Diceros bicornis minor: one gene and its partner. The protein of the gene in region 2 interacts with the protein of the main gene of each other region in a biochemical or structural test. Links are inferred from orthologs where the notes say so. Each region holds a gene or a part of one and is shown on either strand. Other genes may lie near its edges.

Evidence for each region.
Region 1: the proteins of AREG (region 2) and S100A4 form a complex in vitro, tested with the Homo sapiens proteins (2 studies listed by IntAct, with this or other methods). The link is inferred for Diceros bicornis minor from reciprocal best matches to the Homo sapiens genes AREG and S100A4.

Annotation. Positions count from the first base shown.
Region 1 is NC_080743.1:57,785,143-57,791,993, forward strand, and holds S100A4 (protein S100-A4), read right to left. Parts: upstream 2,691-6,851; 5' UTR 2,585-2,690; intron 1,616-2,584; 5' UTR 1,601-1,615; coding exon 1,460-1,600; intron 671-1,459; coding exon 506-670; 3' UTR 502-505; downstream 1-501. Other genes in the region: S100A3 (protein S100-A3), read right to left, coding at 4,362-4,523, 5,031-5,171. UniProt on the Homo sapiens protein: Calcium-binding protein that plays a role in various cellular processes including motility, angiogenesis, cell differentiation, apoptosis, and autophagy.
Region 2 is NC_080747.1:60,207,104-60,214,869, reverse strand, and holds the start of AREG (amphiregulin), read right to left. Parts: upstream 3,015-7,766; 5' UTR 2,908-3,014; coding exon 2,847-2,907; intron 1,719-2,846; coding exon 1,488-1,718; intron 1-1,487.

The DNA.
Region 1 (6,851 bases), on a different chromosome or scaffold from region 2:
CCCAACGAGGAGTAGATGTGACCTTCAATTGCATTCCAGCTTCAGTTATAGGTCTCGCCAGAGGCAAAGTCGGAGAGTGGGGAGTGGGGAGTGGGCTTGCTAAGATCTCACATCCGGGGCATTCCAAGCCTCTGGGGGTCCCTTTCTCCCTGCCTTCGGCCCCATCAGAGTCAACTCTATCACACACAAACACACACATGCACACACACGTGCGCACACACCCCCTCAGTCACCCCCACGTCCCTCTCCCACCTTCACTTGTCTGCTGTCCACAAAACTGCAGCTCAACACCCAATGCTCCCCACTTCCACCCCGACATATTTCTCAGCCCCCACCACACGACCCCAGAATCTCTCAGACCATCAGCCTCAAAGCTTCCAAGAATCTTTATTGAACTTGCTCTGCATCACAAACCCATCTGGAGGAGCCAGGGTGAGGCACCGTGCCCACTGCCAAAAGGGAAGACCCCAGCTGGCAGGCCCCCCCACCCACATCGGAGGAGCCTTCATTTCTTCCGGGGCTGCTTATCAGGGAAGCCTTCAAAGAACTCGTTGCACATCATGGCAATGCAGGACAGGAAGACACAGTACTCCTGGAAGTCCACCTCGTTGTCCTTGTTGCTGTCCAAGTTGCTCATCAGCTTCTGGAATGCGGCTTCATCCGTCCTTTTCTGGAGGGGGAAGAGGATACAGGTGGACACTAGCAGCCTGGGAGTGGAGCCAAGACTAGACAAGGTTTCCATCTCCAGATCAGAGCTCAGGAAAGTGTAGCCACTCCTCGGGGGCAGTTTTGGAAGTCCAGCCCTCAGGGCTAAACTAGGGTGGGAGGAGGTTTACCCCTCAGATGAGGAACCCTGAGTGCCTGGGTGCAGCTGGAGAAGGAGACCACAATGTCTTCCCTCAGGGTTAAATTAAGAATCCAATTAGACAATGGTCATGAAAGCAATATATAAACTGCATAAAGTTTGATACAGATGGAAGCTGTGATTGCTCTGGGGAAGTCTGTAGACATGTGAGTGTCTCCATAACTGCGTCTTCACATCCACAAGCCAAATAGAAACTCAAAAATTGTTCATGGCTGCGGTGACGGCAAGAGGCGGACCGTCCTGGTTTGCCGGTCTCAGCTGTGCACACTGACTACCCTGGGAAATTACTTAACCTCTCTGAGCCTTAAATTCCCTTCAGTTAAGTTGTGCAAAGCACTCGGCAGAGTGTCTGGCCCGTAACCTACCTGTTCATTCTCAGCCCTCTCTCCGCTGAGGGCCAGGAAGTGAGTGGTGGGTGCTTGCCATGTTTCCACCTCAGGCAGCCATAGCAAGCTCTGCTCCCACTTCCCCATCTCAGTGACAGATGCCAACTACAGCTACCGCTCTGCAAAAAGGCTGGTGCCTCCCAGGGCCTGGCCCTCCTCTGTGGGGAATGCTCCACATGGGGCATGGTCCCAGGCAGTAGCCACTCACCCCCAAGAAACTGGGCAGCTCCCGGGTCAGCAGCTCCTTTAGCTCTGACTTGTTGAGCTTGAACTTGTCACCCTCCTTGCCCGAGTACTTGTGGAAGGTGGACACCATCACATCCAGGGCCTTCTCCAGGGGGTACGCCATGGTGGCAGTCGGGATCTGGGGGCAGAGTCACAGAGACACCCTTATCTTCCCGACCCCCACCCCCAGCCATGTATTCAGAATGCCTCACCCCACTCCCATCCCTCCAGGAACACTTGGTGAGACCCTGCTTCCACCACAGGGGGAGCCCGGAAAGGTGGGGCTCAGCTGCTGGCTGGGAGAGTATGCACAGTGGGAAATGCGAGCTTCGGGCAGTGAACATTTGCAGGGCCACTGCGCAGGCTCTGGGTTTCAGGCAGCAAGCTCCCGGTGCCTCCCCCAGGCCATGCCTCCACGACATCGCTTTTTCCATCCCTTATTCAGTCCATTCACTCCCACAGCTCAGCCCACAGCAGCCCCACCCAGGCCAATCCTTCTCCCTCCCAGCACTGGGCAAGGCTGCTGGAGGCCTGCCCAGGGGCCTGCAGCGGAAAAAAACAGCGGCCTAGCGCCTAGCCTAGCGTAGGGAGGGGCAGGGTGAGGTGGCAGAGGCAGGGATACAGGGAAGGGGTGGGACGGCCAAGCTCCCTTGGGCTGGGCTGCTGGGTGCAGGGCAGAGGCTCACAGGACACCACCAGACAAAAGCCCACAGTCACCTTCTGCCTTCATTTTGCCTCCCACACCCAAGGGTGCACACCGGCTTGTGCAACCCAGCAAACACAAACCAGTGTGCATACCCACAGGTCACACGCACACCACAACATGCTACAACAATAGCACGTGCAAACCCCAGCATCTCAGTGCCACTCGGACAGCTCAAATCCAGCCACCTGCACACATTTCTGTTTTTTCTGTCTTGCACGTGCACATATGTGTGCACATGCGAACACACGCACACATGCACACACACACATCCCACCCTAGAGCCTCCACATCAGAATCTCACATCTGGACCCATTTAGCACATCTGCCCCCCACCAGTCCCCACTTCTGCCCTGAGCCTCAGCCTGACCCCCCTTACGTGCCAGTCAGGCAACCACAACTCACCAGGCCAAGAGAGAGGAAGCACTGAGGACAGAGGGTTGGGGAGAGAGGAAGAGTGGGGAAAGCCCAGCTGTCTGACCTATTTATACCCCAGCCAGGCCCTGCCCATGATAGAGGATGGGGGAGAGTGAAAGACAGCCCTCCTGCTGTGGGCTGATGTGGTTTAGGCGCTGCGGCCCCCTCCACCAGCCCAGCCTGGAAACCCAGCTTCCTGCCTCAGGGTGGCACAGATACAGATGGACAATGGGAGAGCCCCAGTGGGCACAGGTGGGGGCCTCAGTGGAGTGGGCAACCCCCCAGTGAGCACAGCTCAGCCTGAGTTTTAGGGAGCTGGAGGAAGGGGCAGTCTGTGCCTGGGGTGGGGGACAGGGAGGGAGTGGTCCCAGCCGGCAGCTTGGAAAGGGGATCCAGGGGTCGTGAGTGACAGGTGGGACATTGCCCTGGAAATGTGGCTGCCCAGAAACTAAGGGAGGGGACCTCAGGCTCAGTGCTGTGGGACGACTCACTCTGCCCTTCTCCCCTCCCTAGAGTGCTCTCTGCTGTGCTGAGTGAAGCCCAGGGGGGGCCTGGGGGCTCTGGGAGAGGGATCAGGCTAACACCCAAAGGAGACGCTGGGACCAGCCAGGCATGTCAGTGGAGAAAGGTCCTGGATGAGGGAGTGATGGAGTGGAGAGTGGGAGTCCTCGGGGGAGGCTCAGGGAAGGGCTGGCTGAAGGTACCGAGAGAGGTGGGAGGGGTAGAGCGTCAGGAGGGGGAGCTTGGAGCTGGGATGGGTGTCAGGAATGAAGAATGCAGGTTGACGTGGAAAGTTAGAGGTGAAATCACACAAAATGGGGGAGGCAGGGATCAGGGTTAACCTCTCAGGGTGGGGTATGAACTCAGGGATTGAGTGAGGGTCAGAAGTGGGAGGTGAAGGCCCTCAGGTGGCTGTGGCTTCAGGGATGGGGTCTGCCTCAAGTTTTCTCCTTCCCCCTCCCTGGGTGGGAGCAACACCCTGATCAGACCTCAGACATGCTAATCCTATTAGTGCTGCGCTCTGGGCTCCCTCAGCCCTGGGCAGGAACAAACCCACCCCACACCCACGGCCCCACCCTCCTGCTCAGAACATCCTGTCACGAGGACTGAGCTCCACCCCAGGGAACCTCAGGCTGCCTCTCGCCCTCCTTGACAGCCCAAGGGAGCTTCTTCTTCAAAAACCCCAGAGAGAGAGAGAGAGACCCCCCAGCCTCCCCTGGATGTTGTCCTTGTGTTGACCCCACCCCCTTTTGCTGGCCGATTGAGACCATTTCATTTCTGCATGGTCTGAAACTGCCCTCAGCCTCCTGTCCTCCCGTGGAAAAGGCCAGAGAGGAATGAAGACTTCAGCAGGACTCTGACTCGAGGCCCCAGCTGTTATCGCAGAAGAACCAAACCAAGCCAAGTGCCACCAGTTCTTTATTAGGAGTTCAATAGGCCCTTTCCTGGCGTGGTCTCATTCATGCGCACACTCCGCTGGTCCTTAACAGCCTCAAACCCATCACAGGCCACGGGAGGGAGGCAGCAGCTGGCTGCTCTACCCGTCACTAGCTGTGATCCTGGGGAAGGTCCCCTCACGTCTCCTGGCTTCCTGGGTAAAATGGGTTAACATATTAGGGGCAAACCTGGGAGATTCCAAGTGGAGAGGGAACAGGAGTGGGGTGGGGAGTGGATGACATGCCCAGGACCACCTCAGGGCAGAGATGGAGCAGGCCCCAGCAGACGCCTGCCTGCTGGCCAGCCCTGCCCACTGGAGCAGAGGCTACTAAGAGCAGGGAGGCTCTGGGGGGCAGTCCTTGAAGTAGTCATGGCAGTAGGTGCAGAGGCAGGCAAGCGAGCGCACGTATTCCTCAAAGTCCACCTCGCAGTCCCTGTTGGTGTCCAGAACACTCATGAATTTATTGTAGTCACACTCCCGAAACTCCGTCTGTGCAGGGAGCAGGGAGAGGGGTGTGAGGAGGCAGGTTGAGGAGGGCACAACAACCTCGTGCACGCATAGGTGCACTGCTTCCCTCCCACCCTCTCCCCTCCTGGTTGGTCTCACCCATCCCAACCCACGCCCCTTCTGGGGGCCAACCTCAGCCTACCTATTCTGATAACTCACCCATGTCAATCCTACTCCCCAATCCTCCTTCTCAGATCATTTATTGAGCACCTACTATTTGCTCCTGAGTGCCTACTATGTGCTAGACATTCTTCACCTCGATCTCACTCATCCTTCCGACAACCCTGCAATGCAGCAGGGTGATGACTGTCATCCCATTTTACAGATGAGGAAACTGAGATACCTGCTGTGACAGCTCTCTCCCAGAGTCCCGGCCCCACAGTCCAGCCTCCACCCCTCTTGCTGCCCTGTGCGCAGAGTTCGTCCCCAGGTCTCTCTTTGTGGAGTCCAAGCAGTGCTTCCCCGTGGGGTGGGCACCCCAGTGCTCACCGGGGTCCAGGTGGGCAGCTCCTTCTGTATCAGCTCCTTGAGCTCCGCCTGGCAGAGCTTGTGTTTGTCCCCGCAGCGCCCCACATACTCCTGGAAGGTGCACACGATGGCAGCCACTGCCTGCTCCAGAGGCCTGGCCATCCTCACTGTCACAGAACAAGGGTGCGACTCACAGCAGAGGCCCCAGCCACCCCTCTGCTCACCTCTGCCCTCCGTGTTTCCCAGGACTGCTCCAGACCTGTCTCAGTCTCTGCCAGGCTTCTAGTCCCACAAGCTCTCCTCCTCTGAGCAGCCCTCCCTGACCACCCCCACCTCTCCTAATTTATTTCTCTACTGTCGCCCGTTATGATTTTCCTGGACATTTCCCCAACATCACTACAAAGCCCTCAGGAAGAGTGCCCCCCCCCACAACCTGCACCCCCCACACCGGGGATCCCTCAGGACTCCCTGATTCCCTCCACCTTTTCTCATCCCTGACACCCAGGAGGGCTCAGTCCCACTTTGCAACCCCCCGTAAGATACAGCACCCTGGTCCTAGAAGCCTCCTCCCCTTTAGGACCGCAGAGCTCCTTCTGTAGGAATTTGTTCGAGGAGAACCCTGGTCCGTCCGTGTCCTCAGGTGCATGGAGAAGCTGGGCATTCTCAGGGAGCATCAGTAGGAGAGCAACCCCCATCACCTCACCACCACCCCCTCACGGTCCCTCCTTCCCCAAACTCAGGGAAGCTGCGTCCAAAAGAGAAACTTCTGGGGTCCTCTCTGCCTCTCACCAGCTGTGCAACCCCAGATGAGCCATTTACCCTCTCTGGGTCTCAGGTGCCTTATCTGTAAAATGGGGCTAATCCCACCTCATAGGCCTCATCAGGGACCTCAGCAAGACAGCTGGCTCTGGTATTTACCAATCTGTGATCTGCCCCACCTGAGGCCATCCCCCTGACTCTTGGGGGTCTTGGGACAGAAGGCTCTGCAAAGATGTACCCTGTTCTGTTAGAGGGGAAGCCCTTCTTGAAATTGCCAACCCCCCAATTCCACTGGCACCCCCCTTTGCCCTTTTGGAAGGATGCCTCCAGCTTGGGAAAACCCTAAGGCAGCCAGGAAGGCAAGTGTGGTTTCCATGTGAGCCCAGTGACTCACTCCTTATTCCCCCAGGGTTAGGAGTCCTGCAGTGTAAGGCTGCCAGGGCCATGGCTCTCTCCCTAACGCTTCCCCCTCTGCTGGGACCTATGGAGCAAATGGCCAGCCGGGTTGTGTCTAGGGGGTGGGGAGATAGGAGGAAGGGGGTGATGGAGCCAAGCACTGTCTGAGATCTAACTGTGACAGCCCAGGGTTGGAACTGGGTGTCTGGGGTCCCAGGAGAGGAAAGGGCCATGATCCCAGGGAATAAGGAACCTCAGAGGTGCCCAGCTGCCCTTCTGGGCTCCTGCCAGCCTGCCTGGCGCCATCGTTGTTGCTTTTTCAGAAGCTTGCTGCCTGGAGACTGGAGGGAATCCTCTCTTCCCCACGCAGCCCTGGCCTGTCTCAACCCGTTGGCAGGAATGAAGGAAGGAGGCAGAGGGGAGGGACAGGGAGCTAACCGAGGCTAACACCAGCGCTTTTAGCCCACGGCCCCACCCCAGGGCCAGACTTCAGCTCTGCACACCCCCTAACCCAAACTTCCCGATAGCCCCTCACTGTACAAGGGAACACCTCACCTCATCAGTCCCTGCTGTGGTCATCCCTCTGCCCCCATGCCCAGACCCTGGGCCAGGAGACAACCCTAAGCTGCCCAACACCCAGTCCAGGGCAAGACCCAGCTGGCACTCACCACTTTGCTGGTGTTTCAG
Region 2 (7,766 bases):
TGTTTAATAGGTGGTTATGCAATTTTTATACTGAAACTTTCCTCTGATGATAAAAAAGTACCACAAGTTAGAATAAGTCCTCTAATAGAAACATTTTAAATGGCTATTACTGCACTTTATCAGATCTATTACAAATTTTAGACAGGGATGAATAGTCACTATGCTGAAGTGCTACAATAGATATTAACCCCATGGGTTTTACAGCCTTTCAAAGGAGTTCAGCCAACTCTATTTCACACTGCATTGCAGTTGTAAGCACTAGCCATTTTCACTATTAACAATTTATTTGGCCTTTTCAGACGTTAACAACTTGAAATATCTTTAAGAGAACAGTTTCTAGAATCTTGATGGTCTAATCTCATCCCTCTAAAAATAAAAATTATAAATGGACCCCTTGCCCACCTTACTTAAAGCACAAGTTCTGAAGCAAGGGAGTAAAAAGTGAAGTGTCCAGTAAAGCTTTTCCCACATGCCATTTAACCCAGTCACTGTCCCTATGGTATCACCTGCGCTCCCTTCACCAGTTCTGGGAGCCAGCCAGAGGGAGAGGAGTCAAGGAAATGAAGGTCAGGAGAGAAAGGGCCTTATGCTCTGCCTCCATAGTGGATGCTCCTAGGATATGTGGATCTGATTTACTGATGACCTCGTCTGCCCTCAAACTCCAAAGTAATATGAGGGTAATGAACAATACTTACCTCTTACTTTGGTACCCTCATTTTAAGCAAATGCTCTTTTTTAAAGATCAGATAACAGTAAAAGAGAAGAAAATTATGGGTCACTATTATTTAACTGACAAATGGGATTCGGGATTAAATCATAATTTTAGCAATATAAAATCCATGCATATTTGTCCTTTAATATTTCCAGAAGGTTATACTATTATTATAATCACTAGAATCAGCAGTCTCTCAACACCCAGTACTTAAAGGCTAAAAGTCCAATTGCTCCTTTCCCATTACTTTTTTCTGTTCCCTTATTTGTGTTAAAATGCAATTACTTAGGGAAGAGTGGTGGTGAGGAGTAGATACAAAAGCTAAGATAAGATGTAGGTAGCACTGACTGCTGTCTACACCGCTCTCTCAGGATGGAGTTTATGTCATGTGGCACAGTGGGAAAGAGCACAGTATCTGGAGCCAAACAGATTAGGGTTCTCATTATGGCTCAGCTGCTTGCTGGATGTGGAACTTCGCACAAAACACTTAATCATTTTGAGCTTCAATTATCACATCTGTAAAAGGATAATTCCCACTTTGTAAAGTTGTTGTGAAGATTAGACTTAACAGACCTAAAACACTTGTTAGAGCTCCAGACATAGGATGTGCCCACATATGCCTTTCCGTCTCCGTTCGTAGCTTACCCAGGGGGTATGCAGCAGACGCACACACAAGACAGCCACTAGAAGATGCAAGGAATGGCTTTTCTTTTGAAGCAGTTCGCTCATCCACACACATCTCACAGGCTACATTTTCACCTTATCCTCTACTCACCTCTGACTGACTCATCTACGATGTAGCCAGATATGTGTGGTTCGTTATCATACTCTTCTGCATAGTCATAGTCGATCCCCAGGGACAGTTCGCTACCAGAAGGCGTTTCACTCACAGGGGAAATCTTGCTTCCTGGGGTCACCTCAAATCCATCAGCACTGCGGTCCCCGGAAGATGGTTCCCCTTTCCCAGAGTAAGTGTCATTGACGTCCAATCCAGCAGCAAAATGGGCTGTGGGAGAAAAAAGAAGAGAAAAACAGAAAAGGTAAAGCAGAGAGCCTTTCTCATCAGCCAGCTGAGTTCAGGAGAAATATTTACCTTCTGATATCAAAGCAGCTATTGCACATGTGCTATTGTTTGTGATTGAGTCACTTACGAAAGCAACTCCACACTTTGCCAAGGAGCAAACTCAGCTGTTCCAATTACAGAGCTTCTTTCATCAAGGTTTCTTTTCCACAGATAGTCTACATTAATTTCCACATCAAACAAACAAAAAAAAAAACTGCCAAATAGGCAAATTAATATAATTATTTAACAGGTAATGTCTAAATATTCCCATCACTTCACATATCAAATGCATTTGTGTTTTCTAGAATGCTACCTGTCCCATTTTAGTAGACAGGTTCTAGATATAAGTATCAGATTTTCTTAACACGTGCTCACGTTTTAAAAAGATTACATATATAAAATGTAAAACGTAATGTAAATGGTAGTTGATAAGACTGATTCTTATTGCCACTGTTTCGCTATCATTGTTCTGACATACAGAAGAAGCCAGGGACTAGGTAAGATCTGGGGCCCAGAGTTTCAAGCCCCTGTTTTATCTTTGAGGTCTCACTAAAGCAGCCTCAGATCGGTGCTTCTAACTTCTCCCTGGGACACTGTGAGGCCCTCCAGGAAGGCAAAGACAAGATCACTAGACAGAGGAGATGGAGAATTTAGGCAGGAGGCAGCACTGCTGGGTCCAGGACTCAATTCCTCTGCTCTAAGATCTGCGGGAATCACTTTGCCCCTCTGAATCTCGGTTTCTTTTTCTGTAAAACGAAGGGTTTGGATCACAGGATCTCTCAACTCTCCTCCAGCTGGATTAAAGTACAAGTACAGGGATTCTCCCGGCACCCTCCTCCTGGACTGGAACGTCTGAGACACCTACCCGTTTTTCTCTTTCTCCCAGTGAGTAACAGGGAGATACCCTGATCACCCCCCGTCCCCCGCGGGACAGAGTTAGGGGCGCCAAAAGGCGTTTTTTTGTTTTTTGTGTATGGTGTTTTAGGAGAAGCAGCAGCAACATTCAAGAGGCGCCAGCTTCTGCCCGCCGTGGGAGAAGCGCCGCGCAGCTCAGAGCGGGGATGTCCTCACCTGAGCGGAGGATCAAGAGCCACAGCACCACCGGCGCCGGCGGCAGCAGCGGGGCTCTCATTGGTCCCTCGGCGCGGCGGCGTCGCGGTCTCTGGGGCAACTCGGCCGGAGCTGCGGGCTGGAGGAGGAGGGGGTGGGAGAGAGGGGACGAGGCGGGGTGTGCGGCTCTGCCCGCAGGCCAGGCCGGGCGCGGGCTGCAGCCCCTGGAGCTCGCCTCCGATCTCTCGGTTCCGACCCGGGCGCAGGCACAAGGTGTGCGAACATTCCGGAGGCGCGGCGCGCACCTGCCGCTTTATAGGCCGGGAGGGGACGAGGCATCGCCCGCGACGTCACGGCCGCCGCGGAGGGTGGAGGCGGGCGGCCGCCCTAGAAGAGGTTACTACCCCAAAACCACACACGGACGGCGGCCGCCCCACCCCCGCGAGCCTACAGAGCCGCTGGGAGGAGATGAAAGTCAAACCCCTCGCTGCGAGCCGGAGAAAGACCCGATCCATAATCGAGGGCGGGGGTGGAGTTGGGGAGCTCCCATCTATCTGACAGGTGCAAGTCTCAGTTTTTCAAACTATCTGAAAAAGCTTGGTATACGCTTTGGTTGATCTTAATATTATAACAGGGATTAAATAGAAAAGTTCCATATTGAGATGTAAAAGTACTTTAGGACCAAGAGTGACCTAACAATGACAGCCAGACGTGTTTAACAAAGGTAAATGAAGTTCATTAAATGACTAGAGAGAGCGCCTCCTAATGAGGAGCTGCTTTGTTTGTGATGGGAGATATCTCACCCAAGGGCTCTTTCGCACCCACTGCTGTGAAGTGGCCAGAATTTCAAACCACCTCCCTCCCCATTTCTTTATGTGGCCCAGGGATCTCATCAAAATTTATGTTTGTTGACCACTTATTACTGGCAAACTGTACACTAAAAATATTACCTACACCATCTCACTCAAAAACCTTTCCGGGTAAGCATCATTTTCTCTATTTTACAGGGAGGACAAATGGCAGCTTTACAAAGCAAGGAGGACTTTACACAGCTGGTCATGGTAGAAGCCAGATGGATTTAAATTAATCTGACTCTGAAGTCTCTCTCCTCTCTCATAAAGGAATTTAGACTAAACTAATCTTTAAAAAGAGAGTTTGTGGAGAGAACAATACTTAGCCTCCTAAAGGAGTAGTCTTGACTGGTAGCATATTGGCATTTGGATGAAGGGCGGTGCCCAAGCTTGTGCCTCTCAAATCCCGAGATAAAAGGACGAGCTTCGATGGCCTATTTAGAACCTAGTAGGGTATTTAATCATGACAAGTAGATAAAATGAAGAGGGAAGGAGGCAGCTGCTTAATTTGACTTAACTTTGATGCAGAGACGACTCTAGAACTGGATTTTTCTTGCCTTAAGAGAAAAAAGCATTGTTCTAAGTGTTTTCTTGTCCTGAGGATACATATCTCTTCTCTGATTGTTCTAGTGAAACAGACTTTTTAGGAATGTGGGTCATAGTGCATTTGTCCTAATTCTGGGAAACTTTTCTAAAGCTACTTACTTTTTATTGCCATATCGTAGTGAGTAGGCTAAATAATACCGTACATTTAGGACGATGAAATAAGCAGTCATGAATCATGCCTTCTCTCCTATTTGACATTTGTTGAGAGCACATTTTGTGTAATCCACTTGTTTTGTTTATTTTACTGCAGGGGGGCAGTAAAGAGGAAGATTAAATGATGACCAGCTCTTTGCTCTCCAAAGCTCAGTATGGTGTGGGCCAGACACATAGAAAAGTAATTCTGGTAGATTAGATGACAAGAAGCATTCAGAATGCTGTGGAAAACAAGGATGCAGTTTAATCGTGCCCATGCATATCACAGAAAGCTTTGTGGAAAGGTAAGAGAGGCCGCTCAATGGCCATCCCAGCAGAAAGTTTAAATGGAAAGAAAACCTGATGACAAGATGTAACCGAAAATGGAAAATAAGGCTAGAAAAATGGCACTGCCCATTCCAGGGTGAAACAGGGGCCTGCATTGTCATCTTTTTTGGTGGATGAGGCGATTGTGATTCAGAGACATTCAGAGCCTTGCCCACAGATTTCAAAAGATGGTGGAGATTTTGTTTAGAGTCCAAGCTGTCAGCCTAAATGGTCGCACCTTTCTGTTCTCATAGGTTTCGATTTTGTTTTAGTCCTGTTCTTCCCTTTCTCTTACTCTTTCTTCATATTGCAAGTAAGTGTGAGTTGTGCATATCTGTCATCAGAAATGTTTTACTTTGTTTGAAGTAAGTGGGCTCTTTACATTGGAAATTGCTTGGTCTTTTTCCCATTGGAAATGTAGAGGGTGATAATTTATGTTGGTGTGGAATATAACATAGCATCATAGGGGCAGAATAGCTAGTGCTTGGTATGAGCTTTAGATTCAACCAATTGGGTTTTCATATACAAATTCTACCAGATACTACGTTACGTAATATTTGAAAGACTCAGATTCCTCATCTGAAAATAGGAATAAAGATACCTACCTGCTGTTAAGCAGATCAAATGAAATAAGATACATATACAAGTAGCACATATCCTAGCATATGGTGAGTGCTCAATAAATGGTTTGGTAACTATTATTATTAATGTTGACATTATAATATTTACATTATATTAATCACATTGAAGAACTAAGTGACACTTACAAATGGAGCTTCTCACAGAGCAAGTGAAATAATCTCCTTCAATATTTTCAAGCCATGAACTTTGTACCTACTTCCCATTAAGACTAACCATTTTGAACATTTTATGGTGCATCATAGGGTAACATGGGGCGTCATCACAATTGCATCACAATGGCAGCACCCCTTGATGACTCATGGCATTCTGGCATATATGCATGAGAAGGAAATCAACCCTGTGTAAATGTGGGATTCTTTACATTCTGCATGCTAAGGTGAGATGAGGAGGAAAAATTTTAAGAAATTCAAGAAGAAAAGCAGCTCTTCTTTACCCTGATAAATCGGTGGTTTCCTCACCAAGTGTAAGGTTAAGGGCAGCCCTACGGGCAAATGGTCCTAGCCAACCATTCCTTTTGGTGCCTAGTATCTGGATCCTGATAATATTTTATATGTATAGTGGAAACAAACTCACTTTGACTCAGCTAAATGGTGTGCTATAGAACCAAAAGTATAATTATGTGTTTCTTCATATAATTGAGTTTTTACAGATAGTGCCAGGGTCTGAGTAAGTATTATATCATGGGCATTTTTATGAGTCAACACACGAACCCCTAAACTAAAATTAAGAAATTCTCTAGGAGCTGGCTTGGTGGCGTAGGGGTTAAGTTCATGTGCTCAGCTTCAGCGGCCTAGGTTCGTGGATTCAGATCCCCAGCATGGACCTACACACAGCTCGTCAAGCCATGCTGTGGTAGCATCCCACATACAAAATAGAGGAAGACTGGCACAGGTGTTAGCTCAGGGCCAATCTTCCTCACAAAAAAAAAAAAGAAAGAAAGAAATTCTCTAATGTATAAGTAACATATTCTGTATTATTAACAGATGCATTAGCTCCATTTAGATGTCCATAATTTTCTACTTTTCACCTTGGAATGTATCCATGCTAAAGAATATACAATTTCTAGTTCCTTCAAAAAGACACCATAAATGACCTTGACTGTTGGGTGCCTTGACATACTAGTAAAATCAAATTACTTGCTCTTTATAGCATTAACATGATGGCTTTTGCAGAGCAAGGACTAGCAGATGGGACTGAAGGCAGTTGATGATTTGATGATGTGAAGGCAGTGATGATTTACAATGGAAGCTAAGTAAATGTCATATAAAATTAACTACATTTACACAAAAAACTGAATCCTCTAGGTAGTTTGTTTTCTCATCAAATATGTCTCGAGAACTAGATACTCTCCTAGGCACTGTGAATATAACTTTGAATAAGTCATAATGTCCTTGTTTTTAAGGACCTTACTTTCTATCAAAGGGAAACACGTAATAAACAAGGAAACAATGCACAAAATAATCTTAGGTAGTGAGAAGTGCTGGAAAGGAAATAAAATATGGATATACAGGACTTGGGAGGGTGGAAGAAGATGATAAAAAGAAATACAAGATAGACCCTACACTTAAGTAGTTCACAGTTTCTCTCTAGAGGAAACAGAAGGCAGGATAAAACAGAGAGGGTTATCCTATTGAACAATAATAACAGTGTAGAAGAGCAGAGAGAGGCATGGATGGGAATGAGGGAGGGATAGAGATAGGCATAGACAAGAATGAGGGATGCTGAACAGACAGAGGCATTGAATTGGGCCTTAAAAATGTGGAGGATTCTAGGACATTGTAGAAGAATTCATTCCACTAATCATTTCTCAAATACCCTTCTTAGCACTGCCAGCTCTTAGCTAAAGGTCAGCTGATCAGAATCACCAGGGAATGTTTCCAAAATGTACCCTCCATTCTCCTCTCTTGATTCAAGTTTGGTGTGGGATCCAGGCCTGTGTATTTTTTTTTAAAAACTTTCAAGAAAATTCTGACGTGCATCTCTGATTAAGAACTACTCCACTGGGGGATACATGGATGAAAAAAATCAAGGTATCTTCAGAGAGATTATAAACTGGTGGGGCTGCACATTCATGTAGGTAGAATTTTTGTTGGAAATGTGAAGGATGGAGAAATGAATTTCAACAGGAAGCATGTAAGTGTGATGAAGACATTTATTTACCCTCTAAGAAACTCATGTTACAAACTGATTCAAATACTATGCCTTTAAATAGGGAACTGCTTTAGTGTAATAAAAATATGTCTGAATATATGAAAAAGAAGAAATCTACTTTGCATGTAGTTCTTCAGGAACCAATTTGTCACATAAGTGGAATCATATGAACACCAAATTCTTATGGATCCTCACTAACTCCATTCTGAATGTAAGGTCAGAAAACAGGGTG